Macaca fascicularis: one gene and its partners. The protein of the gene in region 1 interacts with the protein of each later gene in a pairwise test. Links are inferred from orthologs where the notes say so. Each region holds a gene or a part of one and is shown in the gene's direction. Other genes may lie near its edges. The genes, in order: PPL, AKT1, ALAS1, ZSCAN1, RAB3IP and VIM.

The links.
Region 2: the proteins of PPL (region 1) and AKT1 interact in a two-hybrid assay, tested with the Homo sapiens proteins (2 studies listed by BioGRID and IntAct). The link is inferred for Macaca fascicularis from reciprocal best matches to the Homo sapiens genes PPL and AKT1.
Region 3: the proteins of PPL (region 1) and ALAS1 interact in binary tests that used the Homo sapiens proteins (3 or more experiments, as listed by UniProt). The two-hybrid records come from large-scale screens. The link is inferred for Macaca fascicularis from reciprocal best matches to the Homo sapiens genes PPL and ALAS1.
Region 4: the proteins of PPL (region 1) and ZSCAN1 interact in binary tests that used the Homo sapiens proteins (3 or more experiments, as listed by UniProt). The two-hybrid records come from large-scale screens. The link is inferred for Macaca fascicularis from reciprocal best matches to the Homo sapiens genes PPL and ZSCAN1.
Region 5: the proteins of PPL (region 1) and RAB3IP interact in binary tests that used the Homo sapiens proteins (3 or more experiments, as listed by UniProt). The two-hybrid records come from large-scale screens. The link is inferred for Macaca fascicularis from reciprocal best matches to the Homo sapiens genes PPL and RAB3IP.
Region 6: the proteins of PPL (region 1) and VIM interact in binary tests that used the Homo sapiens proteins (3 or more experiments, as listed by UniProt). The link is inferred for Macaca fascicularis from reciprocal best matches to the Homo sapiens genes PPL and VIM.

What each region holds. Positions count from the first base shown.
Region 1 is NC_088394.1:5,706,401-5,709,900, reverse strand, and holds part of PPL (periplakin), read left to right. Parts: coding exon 1-35; intron 36-831; coding exon 832-929; intron 930-1,115; coding exon 1,116-1,273; intron 1,274-2,619; coding exon 2,620-2,798; intron 2,799-2,883; coding exon 2,884-3,022; intron 3,023-3,500. UniProt on the Homo sapiens protein: Component of the cornified envelope of keratinocytes. May link the cornified envelope to desmosomes and intermediate filaments. May act as a localization signal in PKB/AKT-mediated signaling.
Region 2 is NC_088381.1:172,965,669-172,969,168, reverse strand, and holds part of AKT1 (RAC-alpha serine/threonine-protein kinase), read left to right. Parts: intron 1-638; coding exon 639-707; intron 708-1,061; coding exon 1,062-1,187; intron 1,188-1,265; coding exon 1,266-1,394; intron 1,395-1,544; coding exon 1,545-1,759; intron 1,760-2,185; coding exon 2,186-2,273; intron 2,274-3,500. UniProt on the Homo sapiens protein: AKT1 is one of 3 closely related serine/threonine-protein kinases (AKT1, AKT2 and AKT3) called the AKT kinase, and which regulate many processes including metabolism, proliferation, cell survival, growth and angiogenesis.
Region 3 is NC_088376.1:115,270,649-115,274,800, forward strand, and holds the start of ALAS1 (5-aminolevulinate synthase, non-specific, mitochondrial), read left to right. Parts: upstream 1-1,352; 5' UTR 1,353-1,451; intron 1,452-2,428; exon of another isoform or gene 2,429-2,439; 5' UTR 2,440-2,460; coding exon 2,461-2,659; intron 2,660-4,152.
Region 4 is NC_088393.1:65,772,520-65,776,019, forward strand, and holds part of ZSCAN1 (zinc finger and SCAN domain-containing protein 1), read left to right. Parts: intron 1-1,360; coding exon 1,361-1,499; intron 1,500-2,305; coding exon 2,306-2,928; 3' UTR 2,929-3,500. UniProt on the Homo sapiens protein: May be involved in transcriptional regulation.
Region 5 is NC_088385.1:76,514,753-76,518,712, forward strand, and holds the start of RAB3IP (rab-3A-interacting protein), read left to right. Parts: upstream 1-1,160; 5' UTR 1,161-1,647; coding exon 1,648-1,685; intron 1,686-3,960. UniProt on the Homo sapiens protein: Guanine nucleotide exchange factor (GEF) which may activate RAB8A and RAB8B. Promotes the exchange of GDP to GTP, converting inactive GDP-bound Rab proteins into their active GTP-bound form.
Region 6 is NC_088383.1:18,140,902-18,143,750, forward strand, and holds part of VIM (vimentin), read left to right. Parts: intron 1-1,332; coding exon 1,333-1,428; intron 1,429-1,515; coding exon 1,516-1,677; intron 1,678-2,428; coding exon 2,429-2,554; intron 2,555-2,849. UniProt on the Homo sapiens protein: Vimentins are class-III intermediate filaments found in various non-epithelial cells, especially mesenchymal cells. Vimentin is attached to the nucleus, endoplasmic reticulum, and mitochondria, either laterally or terminally.

The sequences.
Region 1 (3,500 bases):
CCCACAGACCCTGAGGCCCTGGCTCTGGCTGACAGGTACAAGGGCAAAGGCGGGAGTCTGCATGGACCAGCCCCACCCCCACGGCTTCTCAGGCCCCATTCATAGCCCTGGGCATTTGGACTCAGCCTGTGGGGAGCGGGGGGTTGCTGACACTCTCCATCTGTACCCCCTTGGAGGTTCACGCAGGAGAGGGGCAGATCGTGGGCCGACTGACTTGCTGAACATGAATATCCAGCTCTTGGCTTCGTCCAGCAAGCAGTTTCTAAGGGCCCCTGGCTCCCACACGCACTGCTCCCTGTACCTGCAGCTCCCAGCCCCTCGACTGTGGACTCAGCTGGAATAAGGGCTGCCTCCTCTTTGCTCCCAGGCACCTTCTTCCACTGCACACACCACTTTTTATTGACTATCATATGTGTCAGTCTCGTTGGGCTCCTTGAATTTCCTCTCTCCAGGGCCTAGTTAAGTACCTGGTGGAAAGTTGGTGCCCAGGAACTCCTTGCTGAATGAGTGGATGATTCAAGGAATGCCTTCATTTATTCATTCATGTATTTATTGAGCACCTACTGTGTATGCTCCCTCAGAGGTAACATCTTGGTGGAGATTATTGGACAATTTTAGGTAGTTTAAGACTTCCTATGAAGAAGGGGAAGGAGGAGGAGTTCTGAGCCCAGGAGCACACAAAGGCCAGCACGACAGTGAGCACTCGCTGTCTGCATCTAAGGAGCTGTCAGGCTCCTCTGGGGTGTCTGCCCAGCCAGTCTGCTGTCGTGTCTCTGTGGGTGCAAGGGGTGGTGGGCTGCCCAGGTTCCCAGCTCATTTCTGTCCTCACAGCCTGGGCAGCCAGTACCGGAGCGTGCAGCAGAAGGCAGCCGGGAGCAAACGCACGCTGCAGCAGCGGTATGAGGTGCTGAAGACCGAGAACCCTGGAGGTGGGTGCCAGGGCCACTCGCCTGAGGCTCTGAGGGTGCCAGGGAGGGGCTGGACCCAGGGTATATGCTGTGGATGAGATGGCAGGGGCCTGGCAGGAGGTGGGGGGCTGGGTGCCTAGGTCCCTCCCTGAGCCTCACACCCCTGGCCCATTGTCACACCTGCCTGTGTCCTCCCTCCCTCCACAGATGCCTCTGACCTACAAGGGCGGCAGCTGCTGGCTGGCTTGGACAAGGTGGCCAGAGACCTGGACCGGCAGGAGAAGGCCATCACAGGGATCCTGCGGCCACCGCTGGAGCAAGGCCGGGCTGTGCAGGACAGTGCTGAGCGGGCCAAAGACCTTAAGGTACCTGTGGGTCAGGAGCACAGGCGGGGCCTGGGGAGCCCTGCACTGGCCCCCTGGCGGCCCCTATTTGAGGTCTTTTCCCCGTGGGGTCTTTTTTTTTTTTTTTTTTTTGAGACGGAGTCTCGCTGTGTCGCCCAGGCTGGAGTGCAGTGGCCGGATCTCAGCTCACTGCAAGCTCCGCCTCCCGGGTTTACGCCATTCTCCTGCCTCAGCCTCCCGAGTAGCTGGGACTACAGGCGCCCACCACCACGCCCGGCTAGTTTTTTGTATTTTTAGTAGAGACGGGGTTTCACCATATTAGCCAGGATGGTCTTGATCTCCTGACCTCGTGATCCGCCCGTCTCGGCCTCCCAAAGTGCTGGGATTACAGGCTTGAGCCACCGCGCCCGGCCCCCCGTGGGGTCTTAGGACATTCACTGCAGGTGTCTGACAGGGACAGCCTGCTGCATGTAACCGGGTCCCGAGTCGTGGAACTGGCAGGGCTGCCCTCATCACCTCCCCAGCTTCCAGACCAAGGACCAGGCCGCCAGGCTCTTTCCAGACATATCCCCAGGAGAAAGAGCCAAGGCTTGCACTGTCCCGGCATGGCTTGTCGATCTGACGCCTGGCGCGGCACATGGGCTGTGGAATTCCGCAGGACTGGGTCACTGGCTGATTTGACCGCAGACATTTTAGCTAAACCCCAGGCCTCTTCAGTAGGATGGGTTGACCCTGCTTGCAGGGCGGTGGCAAGGACAGGGTGAGCTGATGCCGGGGGCAACGTGGCAAGGCCACCACCACCCACCTCCTTTCCTACACAGTCTCCCACATCCTCAAGGCAGCCCTTTGAGGCAGGGAGTAGCACTCCAATTTTACAGAGGGGGATCTGGGATTGGAGAAGTGCCCTAGTCCCTGATGGGGCCTCACAGTGAGGGCCGAGTCAGGGTGAGAGGATGCGGGTCTCGGGTGTAACCTGACCCCACAAGTCCCTTCCTAAGTTGCTGGGAGTCATCACGCCCCCACCCGTGATTGGGTGGAGTCGTAGTACTCACCTCCCAGGGTTGCTGGAAAGGTTATTGAACAGAAGCGTTCACGTGCAGTGCTTAGGACAGCACAGGCCCGGCAGCTGCCTGGGTGCTTTTGGTGGCACTAGTCCACAGTCCACCTCAGCGGTTCCCTGGGATGCTTGTGAAAGATGCAGCCCTCAGGCTGGCGTCCAGACGCCGCATCAGAGCCCCAGAGTGTGCCAGGCCTTTCCAGCTGCTTCCACTGTCCCTGATGTGGGAATGTGTGCCCACCCTGGCCACATCCTCGGGGGAAGGGGCTGCCTGGCTGTGTCCAAAACTGAGGGGCCCTGGTCCCCACAGAACATCACCAATGAGCTACTGCGGATTGAGCCTGAGAAGACTCGGAGCGCGGCTGAGGGCGAAGCCTTCATCCAGGCCCTCCCGGGCAGTGGCACCGCACCCCTGCTGAGGACCCGGGTGGAGGACACCAACCAGAAATACGAGCGCCTGGCGCAGCTGCTGGACTTGGCCCAGGAAAAGTGGGTGGCAGACAGGCAACATGGAGGTTGGGGTGGCGTCAGGGGACCAGGTGGGTATCCCCTGACGCCTGACTGGTGTCCTCAGAGTTGACGTGGCCAACCGCCTGGAGAAGAGCCTGCAGCAGGGCTGGGAGTTGCTGGCCACACACGAGAACCATCTGAATCAGGATGACACAGTGCCCGAGAGTAGCTGCATCCTGGACAGCAAGGGGCAAGAGCTGGCGGTGAGTCTGGGGCCCAAATCCCAGAAGTCCTTCTCTGAGCAGGTGAGGGCATCAGGCCCATCCACCCACCCCATCCGGACAGACGAGGACACCAGCATCCCGTCTCCCTGGGTTTGGAATGCCCAGTGTGACAAACTGGGAATTGCAAATGGAGGCCCGCAGGACAAATCCGAGCTATTCACGGGATCTGTGTGACCTATGGGATTTCAAATGCCAGCATTTTAAGATCAAATATCTGCAATAGACAGTGCAGTGGCACATGCTTGTAACACCAGCCATTCAGGAGGCTGGGGTGGGCTTGCTTGAGCCCCGGAGTTTAGGTCCAACGTGGACAATGTTGCAAGCCCCATCTCTTAAAAAAAAAAAAAACACCTAACAATCCATGTTCCCAGTATCTCTTGCTGAGCACAGCTGGCATCCTGGGCTGCAGTCCACAGGGCAAGTCACGGGGCAGAGGAGCAGCTGCGTCCTCGGCCTG
Region 2 (3,500 bases), on another chromosome or scaffold:
TCCAGGTCACTGTGTTTGGGGATGATTCTCCTGCAGAAGGGGCCTTTGCTTTAAAAGCACAGCCGCCTGTGGTGGAAGGCAGGAAGGTGGCTCTGCCTGGGAGGGTGCATCCTCCCTTGCCAGGGCTCTGGTGCTGGGAGCACTGCCCCCTGTTGAGGTCCCAACCCGCCCTGGAGACCTGAGCCCAGGCCACTTTGCTCACCTTTCAAACACTCCTTGGCACCTCAGGGGCTGCCAGGGCCCAGCCTGATGGTGTGGTGTGGGGGTGTGGCATGAGGCAGTGTGATGTGGGGGTGTGTGGTGTGGGACAATGTGGTGTGAGACAGTGTGATGTGGGGGTGTGTGGTGTGGGACAATGTGGTGTGAGGCAGTGTGATGTGGGGGTGTGGTGCGGGGCAGCGTGGTGTGGGGCAGCGTGGTATCGGGCAATGTGGTGTGAGGCAGCGTGGCGTGGGGCTACGGGTGGCATGGTATCGGGTGGCATGGTATCAAGCAGCATGGTATCAGGCAGCGTGGTGTCGGGCAGCATGGTGTGGGGCTACGGGTGGCATGGTATCAAGCAGCATGGTATCGGGCAGCGTGGTGTGGGGCTGCTGTCCTGCCCGTGGGGCTGCAGTTCCAGCTCCGCTTCCTTGCAGGCCCTGAAGTACTCCTTCCAGACCCACGACCGCCTCTGCTTCGTCATGGAGTACGCCAATGGGGGCGAGGTAGGGGCTGGGGCTGTGGGGGATGGGCCTCACGGCCTGTGGACCCAGCCCTGGCAGCTGGGCCACCCATAGTGGGGCTGGTCCTTCCCGGAACCTCGGCTACTCTCCACAGCACCAGACGGTGCTCCCTGCTGGGTGGGTGGTATGACGCCTGCCCAGGCAGCTGCCTGCTGTGGGGTGACTTGTTCCTGCTGAGTTAGGGCTTCTGAGACTTTCCAGGCCCCCGTGCCCTCTGGGGGCTGGTCCCTTCCCTGTGCCCAATGCCCTGAGCCCCTGCCTGAGAAACCCCAACCCTGCAGGCTGTGGGGGCGGAGGCCCCGGCCACAGCTGTGCCTCAGGTCGCGCTTCCCACAGCTCTTCTTCCACCTGTCCCGGGAGCGTGTGTTCTCTGAGGACCGGGCCCGCTTCTATGGCGCCGAGATCGTGTCAGCCCTGGACTACCTGCACTCGGAGAAGAATGTGGTGTACCGGGACCTCAAGGTGCGCCGGCGGGCACTCGGGGTGGGGGCAGGGCCCTGGGAGCCTGGCGGCACTGACCTGAGGCCACCTTTCCCCTAGCTGGAGAACCTCATGCTGGACAAGGACGGGCACATTAAGATCACAGACTTCGGGCTGTGCAAGGAGGGGATCAAGGACGGCGCCACCATGAAGACCTTCTGCGGCACACCTGAGTACCTGGCCCCCGAGGTGTGCGCCCCACCTGTGTGCATACGCGTCGCTGTGTCCCCACGTCCCGAGCACACGCAAAGCTGTGTCCTCTCTGTGCCCCAAGCACGTCACGACACCTCCCCCGGACACCCCCTGATGCCGAGTCCTGCCCATCTGCCGCCCGTGCAGGTGCTGGAGGACAATGACTACGGCCGTGCGGTGGACTGGTGGGGGCTGGGCGTGGTCATGTATGAGATGATGTGCGGCCGCCTGCCCTTCTACAACCAGGACCACGAGAAGCTTTTTGAGCTCATCCTCATGGAGGAGATCCGCTTCCCGCGCACGCTTGGTCCTGAGGCCAAGTCCTTGCTCTCAGGGCTGCTCAAGAAGGACCCCAAGCAGAGGTGAGGGCCACCCATCCCGGCTGCAGGCTCCACCTCCATCCCCTCACCCCCAGGCTGCACCTGCCCCTGTGCCAGGCGGTCCTGGCACCTCCCAGACTACACTGATAGCCAGAGCTTGATGTCCTTGGCCAGGGCTGATCCCCAAAGCCTCAGGCACAGGCAGAGTGGCTGGGTAGGGCAGGGTCAGTTGGGCCTCCATCCCCAACCCTGCAGCCCCCACACCCCCAACTCAGGAAGCCCCTGCCTGCCGTGAGCCCTGGGGTGCTTTGCTCCCCACAGCTGCTCAGGGATGCTGCACCACCGGTTGCCCTCCCTGGCCCCAGAACGTCCTGTCCGGCGGGCCCTACATCACAGGAGGAAGGGGTCTGAGCCTGGGGCCTGGGCGGGTGGCAGTACCGACACCGTGGCCTTGTTTGCTACCCGCAGGCTTGGCGGGGGCTCTGAGGACGCCAAGGAGATCATGCAGCATCGCTTCTTTGCCGGCATCGTGTGGCAGCACGTGTATGAGAAGAAGGTGCGGCTGCTTCCCGCATATCCACACTCACGCATGCACGTGGCATGCTCGCCGGATTTCCCACACACCTGCCCTCACCTCGGGAGCCTGCTGCAGTCCTGGTACAAGGAGGGCCTTGCTGCAGCAACCTCAGTGCCTGCTGCTCAGAAGCTCTGGCACTGCTGGCTTCCTCCAGGAAACTGGCCTGGTCCTCCTCATTTCCTCCTCCCCTCAGAGATGTGTCACACTCTGAGTGCCAGCCTTGGGGGTCCCTTCCCTGATGCTGTGCAGTGAAGGCTGGCTGGCGGTGGACCAGGGGTGCTGCTCCTTGCTCTCTACCAGTTCCTCCTGTTGTCTGATCTCAATCCTTTATGCTGCAAGGAGAGCCCAGCCCTACTTTCTGGCTGTGCAGGGACGGGACAGCACCTACTTTCCTGGCACATGGGGGAGTCCGCCCTGGAGGGAGGCAGCTCTGTCTACATGAGTCGCCATCCTGGGTGCTCATCTTTCAGGAGCCCTGGCCGTCACCCTGGCTGATGGGGTCTGCTGGCTAGGTTCAGAATCCTGCACTCTGAGGTGCTGGGTGCCCTGTCACCAGGTGTGCTTCTGCCCAGTTCCCAGCCTGCCCCTCCCCTGAATGCCTGTCCCAGGCCATGTGCAGCTGGTCAGGCTGGGCAGCCCTGGGACCCAGCTGGGCACCTGTCCTCCCATTTAACACAGGGTGCCCTGGCCCTGGTCCCAGTTCCTGCCCTGAGGCCTGCCACCCTCCAGCCCTGCCCTGCCCTTCAAGGGTATGGGGGGCCTGGGCAGTGCTCAGCCTCTGCCCAGCCTTGACCAGAGACCTTGCTAATTGACAATGGACAGTGCTGGTGCCCAGGCCAGACTTGGGTGGGGCAGTGCTTGAGGGGATCCTTGACTGTGGGACCTGAGGGGCTCTCTGGCAGCTCCTCACATGTGCACATTGCCTTATAGTCACCCTTGATCCTGGGTCATCGAGAGTCCTCTCTGCAGCCAGATGCCAGGAGGCTGCGATCCTGTAGTCCCTGAGCCATGGAGGCAGGGTGCGCTCATCCTGTGCACCCTGTTCCACAGTCTCCCCCTTTCCCAATTTACAAGAAGACTAATAAAAATAAGAAAACAAGAAAGAAAAAGCAAAAATAAAGTCATCACCTACTGGTAGCAGGGAGGGTCTCAGAGCTGGGCCGCACTACCTCCTGTCGCCTGCTGGGCTGCTGTGAGGGCAGCTTC
Region 3 (4,152 bases), on another chromosome or scaffold:
CTAAGGAAAGCAAGGCCCAAAGATGAGCAAAGCACTCAATATCCTTATTCTGTTCCCACTTACAGCTGCACTTGGGTCCAAGTGCTGACCTTTTCTCTCTCATCTTCTCTGGGTGATGGGCACTGCCCAGGATTCCTTGGCAGAATGGCACAGAACTGGGTCTTGAGCTCTCAGACCAAAGCACGCATCCTGGACAGGTCCCACTGCCACTCTGAACCCAGGTGCCTCCTCTGAAGGTGGAGACTCACCTCACCTGCCTTGCAGCCAGCTGGATGCTCAGAGAGGGAAATGCAAAGTACCTGGACACACCCTGGTCACCATCATTCTGGACTTTGTCCCTCTTGTTAATGCGTAGCTGGGAAAGGAATACTCTCGACGGCCCTTTCCTCAAGAATGGAGAGTACCTCTGAGCCTGGCACAGGCCCAGCCCAACTCAGCCCAAGCCAAGCTGGGAAGGGTGTGGAGCAAGGAAGCCAGACTGGCATTCCCGAGAGGGGTTTGCCAAGCCCCACACTTCATGTGTTGTGCCAGAGAAACTCAATGGAGGTATGGCCCAACGCTGACCTTTGGGATGGAGGCCTAAGCCACCCTGCTGGTGCCCAGGGTGGCCAGCAAGGGGCTTCAGACAACCCCAGATGGAAAATAAAAATAGTGGCTAATATTTGTTACATGCTAACTATTGTCAGGCCCTGTGCCTCCCCCTCCGCCCCAAGTGCTCAGAGCTGTGGAATGGATGGGTTCCATCCAGCCCTGTTCCTCTGCCTCCTCTGGATCATCTTAGACCGGAAAGTGCCACAGCTGAGTGTCCCGCTTCTTCCGCATCCTGCCAGGACCACTCCATCTGTAGGGGATACAATCAGCTCCACCTCCTTCGGGAAGCCCTTGTTCACAGTTTCCAAAGCAAGCCGCAGATGGGATGGATCCTGCTTAACACCTCGGCCCAGAACCCCTTGGATCTCCTTCTTCCTCCAGGTCCAAGACACCCATCTTAACAACCCTGTAGCCCCCAACTTGGCCCTAGCCGCCTCGACCTTGCCATTTTATACCCCACAATCGGGGCGTAGGGTTCTGAAGCCCAGGGTAGTTGGTGGGGAGGCAGCACGAGAGTGCAGGATGAGGTCGGGAAAAAAGACCTCGTCCGCTCACCGCCTGGCCCTTCCTCCTCCCGGCAGGCGAGCCGGGGAATCCCCGGCTGCACGGATAACCGCAGAGCCAAAGAAGTGGGCTTCTCTGCCCCGCCCGCCCAGCTCGCCGAGGGCGACGCGGCGCGCCTGCGCGGAAGAAGGCAGCGCCCACGGCGCATGCGCAGCGGTCACTCCTGCTATATATTAAGGCGCCGGCGATCGCGGCCTGGGGCTGCTCCTGGACAAGGGCAACGAACGGTTCGTTTGGACTTCTCGGCTTGAGTGCCCGCCTCCTTCGCCGCCGCCTCCGCAGAGTCCCCAGCGCAGGTGAGGGCCCGCGCGGTAGGTGCGGCGCCGGCCGGGGAAGCCCCCGCGTGTCCTGTCAGCCGGGGCACCTCTCCCCGGGGCGCTGGGACCCCATCCCCCACTGTCCCAGTCATCCGCCGCCTTGAGGTCAGCGTTTATCCTCCAGATTTTTTGCCTAGACGGCCGCCTCAGTTTTCCCCTTTCGGCCCCTTCCAGCTATTCCCGGTTGAACCCGCCGCTTTAGAATTCCCTTCTCATACCCCTCCCGTCATTCTCGAGACCTCGACCGCGGGTCACCTCTGACCCCCACTGCCCGAGTACTGCCTTCTTTCTCCAGACTCAACTCCCTCAACTTTATAGCCCCTGCGCGTCCCCAGTGAGTCCCAAGGCGCTGGTCCTCATACCCCTACCCTCGTTTGTGCCCCTCCTTTCTCAGTTATGCCCAGTTCTTCCCGCTGTGGGGACACGACCGCGGAGGAATCCTTGCTTCAGGGACTCGGGGGCATGCTGGACTCCTTCCTCGGGTTTAGGAGTGCTTTCGGGGATGCGGGGACCAGGAGAAAGTCAGGATCCCTAATAGTCTTCCCTGTCTGGATAGATGAGTGGCTTCTTCCCTAACATCCCTTCTCCACCTGGATGTAAGCCAAGATGTCTTATCTGCACTGTGCATCTCCCTAAGAAACCTCTGGCCTCCCAAACCTGTTTTTGACTTGTGCTTCATCCTTCTGCCCCCTTGGCTATGTACTGTCAGTATTTACTTCATTTGGTGAAGTTGCTTTGTGTAGAGCTGGGGAATGAAGAAGTTGGTGACCCGTGTAAAATGTGGTCACCATTCCTTAGCTGAGTCTCACATCAGTGCTGTCCTTAGGCATTTTTGAGGGAGAAGTGTTAGTATTCCAGGGTACCCTTTATAGAAACTGCAGGTGGCACCTGAATCCAATGAGCTTGCGGTGATATTTGCCTGATTATTAACAGCTGTTGATGTCACTCATCATCAGTCTTTCCACAGGAGCCAGCATACTTCTTGAACATGGAGACTGTTGTTCGCCGCTGCCCATTCTTATCCCGAGTCCCCCAGGCCTTTCTGCAGAAAGCAGGCAAATCTCTGTTGTTCTATGCCCAAAACTGCCCCAAGATGATGGAAGTTGGGGCCAAGCCAGCCCCTCGGGCATTGTCCACTGCAGCAGTACACTACCAACAGATCAAAGAAACCTCTCCGGCCAGTGAGAGTAAGTGTCACTGACAATGAAGGAGCAGGTACAGGTGTGTGTGCTCATTGGTAGACTAGAAGCAGTCCCCACAGTGGTGGTGAGGGCCACAGTCACTCACAAAGGGCTGCTCTGTGCACAGATTATCTCATATGATTGTCACCCCAAGGGTAGGCACTTTTAGCCTTTCCATCTTTAAAGGTGAAACAGTGGCCAGTGTTGCACATGGCAGGTTTTTGGATTGCATGTTAGTGTCTGTTGGGATTTTAGTGTTTCCTCAGTGCCTCGTTCACATAAATATTAAATTGGAGTGTTCTAATTTCCCTCATTAAACATTTGGCCTTCTAATTTCCCTCATTAAACATTTGGCCTTCAGCTTTTTATTTATTTAGTTTTTCTTTTTTGAGACAGAGTCTTGCTCTGTTCCCCAGGTTGGAGTGCAGTGATGCAATGTCGGCTTACTGCAACCTCCACTTCCCAGGTTCAAGCGATTCTCCTGCCTCAGCCTCCCAAATACCTGGAATTACAGGCATGCACCACCACACCCGGATAATTTTTGTACTTTTAGTAGGGTTTCACCTTGTTGGCCAGGCTTGTCCTGAACTCCTGACCTGATCCACCTGCTTCAGCCTCCCAGAGTGCTGGAATTACAGGCATGAGCCACCGTGCCTGGCACCTTTGGCTTTTTAAAGTAGTGACTTGTTTTTTTCCTTAAAAGTTTTTGTTTTATTGTGGTAAAATGCCCAAGAAAAATTACCATTTTAAGCATTTAAAAATGTACAGTTCAGTGGTACATTCATATTGTTGTGTGACGATCACCACCATCCATCTCCAGAACTTTTTTTGTCTTCTCAAACTGAAATTCTATACCCATCAAATAGTAACTCTCCATTCCTCTCTCCCCAACCCCTGGCAACCACCATTCTGCTTTCTGTCTCTATGAATTTGACTATTCTAGGTACCTCATATAAATGAAATCGTACAGTATTAGTGATTTTAAAAACAAATTTATCTTGGCTGTGTGCAGTGGCTCACTCCTGTAATCTGAGCACTTTGGGAGGCTGAGGCGGTTGGATCATGTGAGGCCAGGAGTTCAAGACCAGCCTGGCCACGTGGTGAAACTCCATTGCTACAAAAAAATACAAAAATCAGCTGGACGTGATGGTATACACCTGAAATCCCAGCTACTTGGGAGGCTGAGGCATGAGAATTGCTTGAAACCAGGAGGTAGAGGTTGCAGTGAGCTGAGATCATGCCATGTATCTTTATTTATATATACATTTGTTGTTGTTTTCAACAAAGAGACTGGAGTTGAATTTAGTTTGCTCTGGTTCTGCTAGGAGAGAACAAGGCTTTTCAGGTTCCACTTAATCCTAGAGAGTATTTTACAGGTTTTTCTTAGGCGTGTTCTCTGGGTGTGGGCTTGTAAGAAAAGAATTTTTGTTTTTCTTTAAGCAAAAAGGATTTAATCCTTTATAGGGTTTATTTTCAAGAGTTAGTTATGTCTTTTTTAC
Region 4 (3,500 bases), on another chromosome or scaffold:
CACACACACACACAGGCCACCCACTCTTCCCTCCACGCAGCCCCTCTGCTGCCCTTGATTAGTCACAGACACCAAGGTGGGTGAAGTAGGGAGTAGGCTGACTGTCCACAGTGGCCCCCAGCAGCCAGGTACCGGAAAAAGGCGTAAAAGGGAGTCCCGCCTTTACTCTTGCAGATGATGGCTCCTCTGGTGACGATTTCAGAATTCAACATGTTTTACAATCAAAACTAGCATTTGATAATAAATAAAAATCAACAGCCCAGCCAAACACACCATCCACATACTCCCAATGTGAGAGCAGGAAGACTCTTGTGCCTTAACTCCCTTCCTGCCACCAGCTCCCTCTCTCCCTCCCTCCTCTGTCTCTAGCCCAGCAATCCCTCCACTCCGGTTCTGCCCAGCTGTTGGGAATCTTGGACAGCTTCCTGAGATCCCTGTGCATCCAGTCAGGGTTGGGGCAGCAGAAAACGAAGACCCACTCAAGACCTTATCAGTGCGTGCTTGACTCCTGGTCTCTCTTCTCATGCTTTGTTTGACTCGACATACCTCCTCCAACAACTTGATTTGCATTGATAAGTGTCACTGTGTTTTCCTTTGACACGACCCTGTTGCAGTTTGCCGAGCCCTTGATGGTACCAGGCTCTGGGCACGTAGAACCTACATCCTCATTGGAAACCCAGAGAGCTAAAGCTCCTCAGCCAGGGTCACAGAGCGAGCAGAGCTGGAGCCTGGATACCAAGCCAAGCCCCTCTGTTTTGAATTCTTGCTCTTCAACTACAGCTCAGTCTCCTCCCAGGAAGTGGTGATCCCCGCTTTGGGCGGGACAGGGTTAAGTGCCTCAGAGGTCATAGGTCGCAGGTGGGATGTGAAGTCTGTGCAGTCGCCCACCTTCTCTGGGCTTGTGGGCAAGGACAGTGCAGCCTTGGGGGATGGGAGTTAGGAGCCCCAGCGGGTAACAGTGACCTGAGCCGTGGCACGGGTCCCCTGGCTCCATCTTATGCTCTGTTGTCACCGTCCTGAAATGATCAACTATTTTTGAACAAGGGGACTTGCATTTCCATTTTGTACAGGGGCCCCTCGAATTATGTCTCAGGTCCTGGTAAGAGCTCCTTGGGAGTGGTTACTTATCCTTTTGTATAAGCAGAGTCTTGCTATGTTGCCCAGGCTGGTCCCAAACTCCTGGACTCAAGCAATCCTCCGGCATCAGCATCCCAAAGCAGGGGAACAACAGGCACGCCACCACATACCGCCCTGGGAGACAGCCTTTGGGGATGACGCCCGTTCCTTTGTTGTTCCGTGGTGGTGGGGAGGACGGCTCCTGAGGGGCAGCTGCCGAACAGTCCTGTGCTTGCCATTCCAGGCGTCTGAGCTGATTCTGGATGCAGCGGCAGCAGCCCCGGCACTCCCTGAGGAAAGTGAGTGGCTGGAGCCCACCCAGCTCCTGCAGAGTCTGCACACCAGGGCGGAGGCCGAGGCGCCCCATGCCCCTGGCTTGCTGGGTGAGTCTGGCTCCTGCGTGGATTAAGGGTTGGAAATGGAGTTTGGCACCTCAACCCAAAGTCACAGACTTTGTTAATGGGTGGAGTTGGGGGCTTCGGTGGTAAACTCCACACTTCCCCCAGAAACCATGCACACCTCCTGTGGGGACTGAGATCAGGGGCCCCTAGAACTGCCACATACATCGTTCAGCCCACGAGAAGGGCCTCAGCCTCCCCACCTGAACAGCAGCCAAGGCAGACAGTCTGACAGTGTTGGAGCACAGGGTTACCCAGAAGGCCAGCCAGGTAGGAACAAGGGGCCAGTGCTGTGGGATCTGCTCCCAAAACACATGCCCTTCTTTTTTTTTTTTTTTGGAGATGGAGTCTTGCTCTGTTGCCCAGGCTGGAGTGCAGTAGTGCAATCTCGGCTCACTGCAACCTCTGCCTCCCGGATTCAAGCGATTCTCCTGCCTCAGCCTCCTGAGTAGCTGGGATTACGGGTGCCCACCGCCACACCTGGCTAATTTTTGTATTTTAGTAGAGATGGGGTTTCACCATGTTGGGCAGGCTGGTCTTGAACTCGTCACCTCATGATCCACGCTCCTCGGCCTGCCAAAGTGCTGGGATTATAGGCGTAAGCCACTGCGCCCAGCCACATGTGCCCTTGTATCTTAAAGGACAGAACAGAGGGCACAGGGGACATATTGAGCAGAAGAAGGGCCCAGACTTGGCTCAGTCATTGGGGTCCTCCACGCCCCTGGGGGGCACAGGGAGATGCCAAAGCCATCCACTCACTACAGGTGACCTGTCTCCCTCGCCCTCCACAGGGTCCCGGGCCCGCCTGTCTCTGAAGCCATGTATCTGGGACGAGCCTGAGGATCTTCTCGCAGGGCCCTCCTCAGACCTGCGTGCAGAAGGGGCTGTGATCTCAAGCCTCAAGGGTCCGAGTGCTCAGAGAATCAGTCCCCGAAGGAGAAACAGGAACACTGACCAGAGCGTCCGCCACCAGCCATCCCTCAAGCACACCAAAGGTGGCACCCAAGAGGCTGCTGCAGCGGTCTCAGCAACGCTGCGTGGGCCCCGAGGTGGGCGGCCCTTCCAGTGTGCCGACTGCGGGATGGTCTTCACCTGGGTCACCCACTTCATCGAGCACCAGAAGACCCATCGCGAGGAAGGGCCCTTTCCGTGCCCCGAGTGTGGCAGGGTCTTCCTGCACAGCTCTGTCCTTGCTGAGCACGGCAAGATCCACCTGTTGGAGCCACCCAGGAAGAAAGTCCCCCGGAGCAAGGGCCCCCGGGAGTCTGCCCCACCCAGGGATGGAGCCCAAGGCTCAGTGGCCCCTCGCAGCCCCAAGAGACCCTTCCAGTGTAGCGTCTGCGGGAAGGCCTTCCCCTGGATGGTCCACCTCATCGACCATCAGAAACTCCACACGGCCCACGGCCACATGTGAATGGCCAGCCTCGGGCCTTGGCCACCCGGCCCTGAGTCCCCGGGGGGCACCGATGGGCACCAGAAGATGGGGGACATCCCCCAGCCCCACCAACCCCTGGCCACCATGGGACTCCTCTTGAAGGACACAGGCTGCTTCTCAGAAGATCCTGGACACCTGCTCCAGAGCCGAGCATGGCTTCCCAGGATCTCGGCCAAGAAGCAGCAGTTCCACAGCAAAACCTGGTCAGTCCTGCACACTGTGTTTTGCAAGTGGCTTGAAGAGGAGTTTCATTCGCGTCTCGTCTTTCAGAAGCCTTGTCCAGGTCTCCCTGTGAGCACCTGACTCAGGGGCAGACTCTGCCGCTGGGTTTTCATTTCACTGTGGATATCCCTGAGGCCATGAGGGCGGGAGCCGGCCTGGGCAGCTCCAACTCCAGAGAAGGGTACAGCTGACCCCGGCTGCCCTCCTGCCAGCTCAGCCCCCTTGGAACCTAACAGATAAACAGGGTTTTGTTTTTTTTCCTTTTTTGGGAAACATAAAATTTACCATTTCAGTCATTAAAAATGCACAGTTCAGTGGCATTAAACACA
Region 5 (3,960 bases), on another chromosome or scaffold:
TTCTCTTTTGCTAAACATAGAGACACATACTATGACTGCCTCTTTATTTTTTCCGATTTTTGGGATCTTGGCTCTTTCTGTATTTTTCCTACCTGGAAGACTTAAAGTGGGGTGGAAGTTTGATAAAACAGTTGGCACAAAAGATGAGAGAAGACAGGTACAGGCGTGACATTCTCGAACGCTCTGGCAGTTGCTGGAATGATGGGATCTGGGTTCTACAGGATTCCTCCCCTCCCATCCCCCGCCACACACACACACACGTCGTAAGATGTATATGGCCGCGGAGTCTCAGGTTGGTTCTAGGAGTCCTCAACTCACGGCGAAGGTGCCTCTTCTCCCTTCTGGAGAGCCCAACATGCCTGAAGTCAACCTGAGGTGGCCTCTCGGGCCCCGGGAAACAGCGCAGCTCGGGCTCGCCCTTGTTCCCAGGGAAACCGCCCGCGGAGGAACCTGGGGCCAGGCCCGTGACAGCTGCGACGAGCCCCGCCTGGCGCCAGGGGGCGCGGAAGCGCGTCCGCCCCCAGGCCCCACGCCGGGCCCGCCCCGCCCCTGCCGGCCACACCCCCCCGCCCCGCCCACCCTCCGTGAGGACCGGCCGCTCCCAGCTCCCGGCTCCCGGCCCCGGGCCCCGGCCCCGCTTCCGGCGCAGGCGCAGTCCCGCGTTCCCTCGGCGGCTGCCGGCGTAGTGAGCCCGCCACCGTGGAGTGTAGCGGCAAGGGCTCGCCGTCCTCCTCCGCCTCTCGCTGCTTCGGGGCGCGCTCTCTGCGGCTCTGTGAGCGCCCGTGAGCGCCGGCAGCGGCCGCGGTGGGTTCGTCAGGTGAGTGCGGCCGCGGGAGGGAGAGGCCCGGAGCGTGGAGCACCGCCCCCCTCGGCGCCCGCGCGCCCGCCTCCGGCGAGTCGGCCAGGAGGGGCGGCCGCGGCAGGTGCAGGTGCCGGCGCCGTGGAGGGCGCGGCGCGCGGGGGTTTGGCGGGATGCCCCGGCCCGGTGAGCGCGCTCTCCGCGTGGGCAGTTGGGCTCCGGGGTCTTGGGGGCGGCGTGTGGGGGGACCTCGGCGCCCCGGGTCAGCCGGCCGCCCCCTGGGCTGCTGGTGGGCGCCGGGCGGCGGCTCCTCCCCCGGGCACGGGCGCGTTACACATTAACTGCGCGGTCCCGCGCGCCCGGGGCAGGGAGCCGGAGCCCGGCGGGTTACCTGGCGGCGGGCGGGAGCGGCCGGGAGCGGAAGGCCGGGGTCGCGAAGGGGATGAAGACGGAGTTCCCGAACAAGTCGGAAGCCGCTCACAACACCGGGCGCCGCGCGGCAGGGCTGTGGACGGGGCAATAGCTGTGGACCTGGGGTGGTTTCGTGCCCCAGTCTTAGGAAACGACGCTAGAGGCACCGTGCTGAGGCGTAGAGGTCACCCTCGGGAGGTTTCGGTGAAACCTGGTGGGAAATTCCGGGCAGGCGCCCGGAGTCGCGTCCGAAGAGGCAGCTCCTTGCAGCCAGACTTGTGTTCGGGGGAGTTGAGACGAGCTGCACGGATGGGATTGCACGGCTTTGCCCTCCCAGCGTTGAAAACTCGCCCCGACCGCCCGGGGAAGCGCGAGCTTCCTCGCTCCAGAATTGATGCTGGGTGGAAGCCGCAGCATGTAAAGAGTTGCCGGTTGTTATGGGATTAAAAAAAGATATATCTGCAATGGCTAAAGGGTAAGGTCTTGAAAGACAAGAGCGCTGAGTTAGTACTGATTACTGAGAGGCAATTTAGTTTCATGGAAATGTTGCCTGTTCGGAGGCTACCTGTTATACACTCTCATGTTTCACCCCAACTCCTTCCTTTCACTGTCGGGTTAAAAGCCTTGTAATCTCTTGCAGTGGAATGATTGCATAATTGGAGGAGGGGCCCGTAAGAGGATTACAACAAAACTGTTCCTTTGTAAATCAATTGAAAGACCCAGTTCTTGTTCATTATCCTTTTTCTCATTTTGTTGTTCATGAAGGTTTTTTTTTTTTTTTCCCCCAGTGGTGAATGACAAATCAAGGAGAAAAGAGGCAGAATAGGGTTGTAGACCAATCGTAGTAAATATTTGATACTGTTAAATATTTCACCAGTTTTATGGGGCCTTGTACTATTACCATTTGTTATTTATTTACTAGTACTGTGCATTTTGATAGGACTTTTCATGTTTGGACATTGTATTCCAGATATGGCTTATGTGATCTAATGCTAAAGCCCTTGTGGAATTTATAGAAATAAACAGTTATACAGTTAAGTAGTCCATTTTTTAACTATTGAAGGAAAAGCCTTTCATTTTTTTCCATTGCAGTAATGTTATATATTAATGTATACCTTTGTGAACCAAAGTGTTTAATATAAATCTTCCTTCCGTATTTGGCAGACAACTCATCTGTGGTATTGAATACTTGTAACCTTTCACCAGGATGGCCATTTAATGTTTAGCTGCTTTGTGGGTTTTCTGAATAGATCCTATTGTACTTTTTGAATTAGTGTAATTATCCATATGCTTCCTTTAATATTCTTTACCTTTGATTTTGTGTAAACCCTCATCCTCCCCCAACACACACATCCTCTGCAAATAATTTTTAAAATGGAAATGTTCTTAGAAATCTGTTTCACCCCCTCATTTTTTAAACATGGCAGGAAAAAATACTTTGTAGATTACAGTAGTTTTATATGCATTATAGTAGTTAGTATATTTTTTTCCCCCTCAGCAGGAGTCAGTGAACAAATTAGTGAGCTGGCTGAATGAAAAATTATTTAATGTTCAGTTCCATCACTTACTGTGCATAAAACCTTGAGTAAAACATTTAACCTATTTGAGCTTATTTTCTCCATTTGTCAGTGGAAATACTATTAGGTTGAAATTGCTAATATTCTGCTGTTTTTTATGTTTCAACCTAATATGAACTTCATAGTGGTGAGATGAGGATTTAATAAGATACTCCATTAGAGATGTGGGGAAGGGGAGAAGGAACCAATGTGAGCTTGCTTGTGTGCAAGGCACTGTGCGTGCTTGTTTTCCATACCTTGACTCCTCAGTCCTCTGGACATTCCTGGGATATAGGTGACTGTCAAATTTTACAAATCAGGAAATGGAGGCTTAGAAAGTTGCGGTAACTTGTCTGTAGTTACTTAGTTGTAGGTGGTCGTACAGCTGGCCAGTGATAGAGCCGGTATTAAAAACTGTATCCAACTGCCCAAAATGGAACTTAGTGCTCTTATTCCTTACATTCCCAGTCTGCACTTTCTATTAAAGAACTTTGTAACTATAAGGAGGCACACAGAGTGACAAGTGTTACCATTTGTATTTCTGGTTTAAAAATACCCAGGTTTTCTAATGACGGTGATACCAGCCTTGCTACTACAGTTACTTTGAAGTCTAGTGCTTATCAAGCCAAGTCCTGGTACAAGCTTTATACTAACTCACTCACTCTCACAGTGAGCTAGGAGATAATACTTTATCCCTATTTTGTAGTTGAGAAAATTGAGACGCTGAGACCTTATGTAGTTTGCTCAAAGTCATATAATTAATTAAGTGACAGGTCTGGATTAGATGTCAGTTTGTCTTCCATGTCTGTGCTGTTAACCACTGCACTCTGTATAAGTGGTAATGCTGAAGAATTATTTGCTTATAATCACTGCATTATTACTTCTTTGTGTGTAGCTTATAATGCTGAAGAACTGTTTGTAATTTAGCTTTTATGAGATATGTAATATTAATGTAATATGTAATTCTCATGTGTCACCAGAGATTTTTTTAAATCATATACTCAATTGAGCATCTACTCTGCAAGTCACAGTAGGGGTTAAAGGAAACAATTCTTAAGGAATATGGGAGGTGGGGCCTTATAATCATTCCCATATCTTTTATAAGTTCTTCAAAATGTAGAACACACGTTACATATTTTAATGAATGTCAACTAAGACGAAGTGCTAGGATAGTTGAGTAGTGGAGAGGAAGAA
Region 6 (2,849 bases), on another chromosome or scaffold:
ACTAAGGTGATAGAAAAGTCTCAACAGTTTAAGACCATAAGGCTATAAACTGAACTCCAAATATAATTGCTGACAAGATAAACAATCCTCACGCATCCTTTTGAGAGGAAATAAAATCTTAGTTGCAAGATTACATGTTCTGAATTGGAATGTTGAGCTTTACAAATGGAAACATAGAAGGACAGCTGAATCAGCAAAAATCCTTCATGTAGTTTCATTCTCTGCAAGTTTGACCAGTCATTCTGAAACAGGCCAACTGAACGGATACAGTGGCAAGCGAAAAAGACACGCCTTTGTAGGATGAGTCAAAGGAGTTTTAGAAGAAAAATCCATCAGAGAAAGCAGAGAAAATACAGTTCAGAGTTACATTTCTTTTCCAATTTTTCCTGAACTGAATCTTTGGCAGCATATCCTGAATTGGGTTATTATTGAATATAAATCTAGCCTTGTACAATGGATGCCACATGATTGCATATTTGCTTTGGAGCCTAAGGATAAGTTTCAAAAGATTTGAGTGGGGAAAAAAAGCTAAAACTCTTGAAGCACAAGTTTCTGTTCTCCATGTACTCAAGTGTACATGAAGTTATGAAAATTTGTCCACCTCTATCATCATGTTATTCCATGAAATTACAAAACAAATCTTAACAATGTTGTGGCATAGATTTTCTAGATTTAAAAAGTAATTAAATTAAAGGAATTACTTTCTTTTTTGAGACAGAGTGTCACTCTGTTGCCCAGGCTGGAGTGCAGTGGCGCTATGTCAGCTCACTACAACCTCTGCCTCCTAGGGTTGAAGAAATTATCCTGCCTCAACCTCTCAAGTAGCTGGGACTACAGGTGTGTGCCACCCACCCAGCTAATTTTTGTATTTTCAGTAGAGATGGGGTTTCGCCATGTTGGCTAGGCTGGTCTCAAACTCCTGACCTCAAGTGATCCACCCGCCTCGGCCTCCCAAAGTGCTGGGATTACAAGCAAGAGCCACCATGACCAGCCTTAAAAAATAATTTTAAAATGTCACAGGTAAAATGTGGATTCAGTCATGATTGAGTGCAGTTTACCATGTGTGTGGACGTTTATTTATTTTAAAATTGTCCATTCACCACCTTGAGTAAAACACAAGGGGTCACAATTAAAATATATTAGTGAGCAGGAGAAAGCACAGCATATTATAGCACTGAATGATTTATAAACCTATTCAAGGGTCATAAAATGTGTCAACACCTTTTCTATAGTAAGGAGACTAGGTTCAGATGGTTAATCTAAGACAAATAAATGAGATAAGCCATAGACTTTTACATCCTCCATGTCCTGTCTTTTCTCTGTTCAAAATAGGATGTTGACAATGCGTCTCTGGCACGTCTTGACCTTGAACGCAAAGTGGAATCTTTGCAAGAAGAGATTGCCTTTTTGAAGAAACTCCATGAAGAGGTTAGTGGAGTGACTTTTGGGGAATGAATGAGGGTAAGGCAGCCCCCACGGCTGGCACAGCTGACCGTCTGTCTGTTCTTTTTGCAGGAAATCCAGGAGCTGCAGGCTCAGATTCAGGAACAGCATGTCCAGATCGATGTGGATGTTTCCAAGCCTGACCTCACGGCTGCCCTGCGTGACGTACGTCAGCAATATGAAAGTGTGGCTGCCAAGAACCTGCAGGAGGCAGAAGAATGGTACAAGTCCAAGGTAGGAAACAAATCAGTGTGGCTTGAACAAAAGAAAAGCATTGTGTTCTCAATACCCCATACCTGTGTGCGATTCCTAAATATCCTCTAGCTCCAATGCAAAGCTGGCTTTGACTTCTTGCTCACATTGTGTTTGTCGCCACGGCCTTCCCACCACTCACATCACCTCCTTTATATATATATATGTATATTTATGAGACAGAGTCTTGCTCTACTGCCCAGGCTGAAGCGCAGTGGCATCATCTTGGCACACGGCAGCCTCCGCCTCCCAAGTTCAAGTGGTTCTCCTGTCTCAGCCTCCTAAGTAGCTGGGACCACAGGCAAGCACCACCATGTCTGGCTAATTTTTGTCTTTTTAGTAGAGATGGGGTTTCACCATGTTGATCAGGCTGCTCTCAAACTTCTGACCTCAGGTGATCCACCCGCCTTAGCCTCCCAAAATGTTGGGATTACAGGTGTGAGCCACCACACCTGGCCACATCACCTCGTTCAGAATAGCAGACTCCCTTTTCCCTAACCTTGCCTCCAAGTAAACCCCAATGCCATACCTTTGACGTCCACTGTGTTGAAATGAGCATAGTAGAGTGAACTTTGAAAATATTAATGTCAGTACTCCACTGCTCTTTCCCTGACTTTAAAACAGAAATTTAAACCTATACTGGAAGACATTCAGTGAGAAATACGATTTTTTTTCTAAGAGAATCAAAAGACTTGAATGTGAGCAATCTACATTTCTGTTTTCTTCCTAACAGTTTGCTGACCTCTCCGAGGCTGCCAACCGGAACAATGACGCCCTACGCCAGGCAAAGCAGGAGTCCAATGAATACCGGAGACAGGTGCAATCCCTCACCTGTGAAGTGGATGCCCTTAAAGGAACCGTGAGTACCAACCCTGCAGTAAAAGAGGGAAAATAATGACTCATTTTGTTGACTAAGCTCATGGTGATAACCTGAACAAAATGCTGAGTGAGTAAAAATTTATACCTTAATGCAAAGAAAATGAATTATCAAGACAGACTCAAAATGGACTTGATGGAGCTCTTGAAGGTTTTAGCTTGCATATATCATTGCTTCTCATATGAAGGACTTGGTACTTGTATTCTCCACCAAAAATTATAGTGGTCGCCATTTGCCACTAATGGAAATTATTGCAGAAGGTCTGTAAATGGTTCTG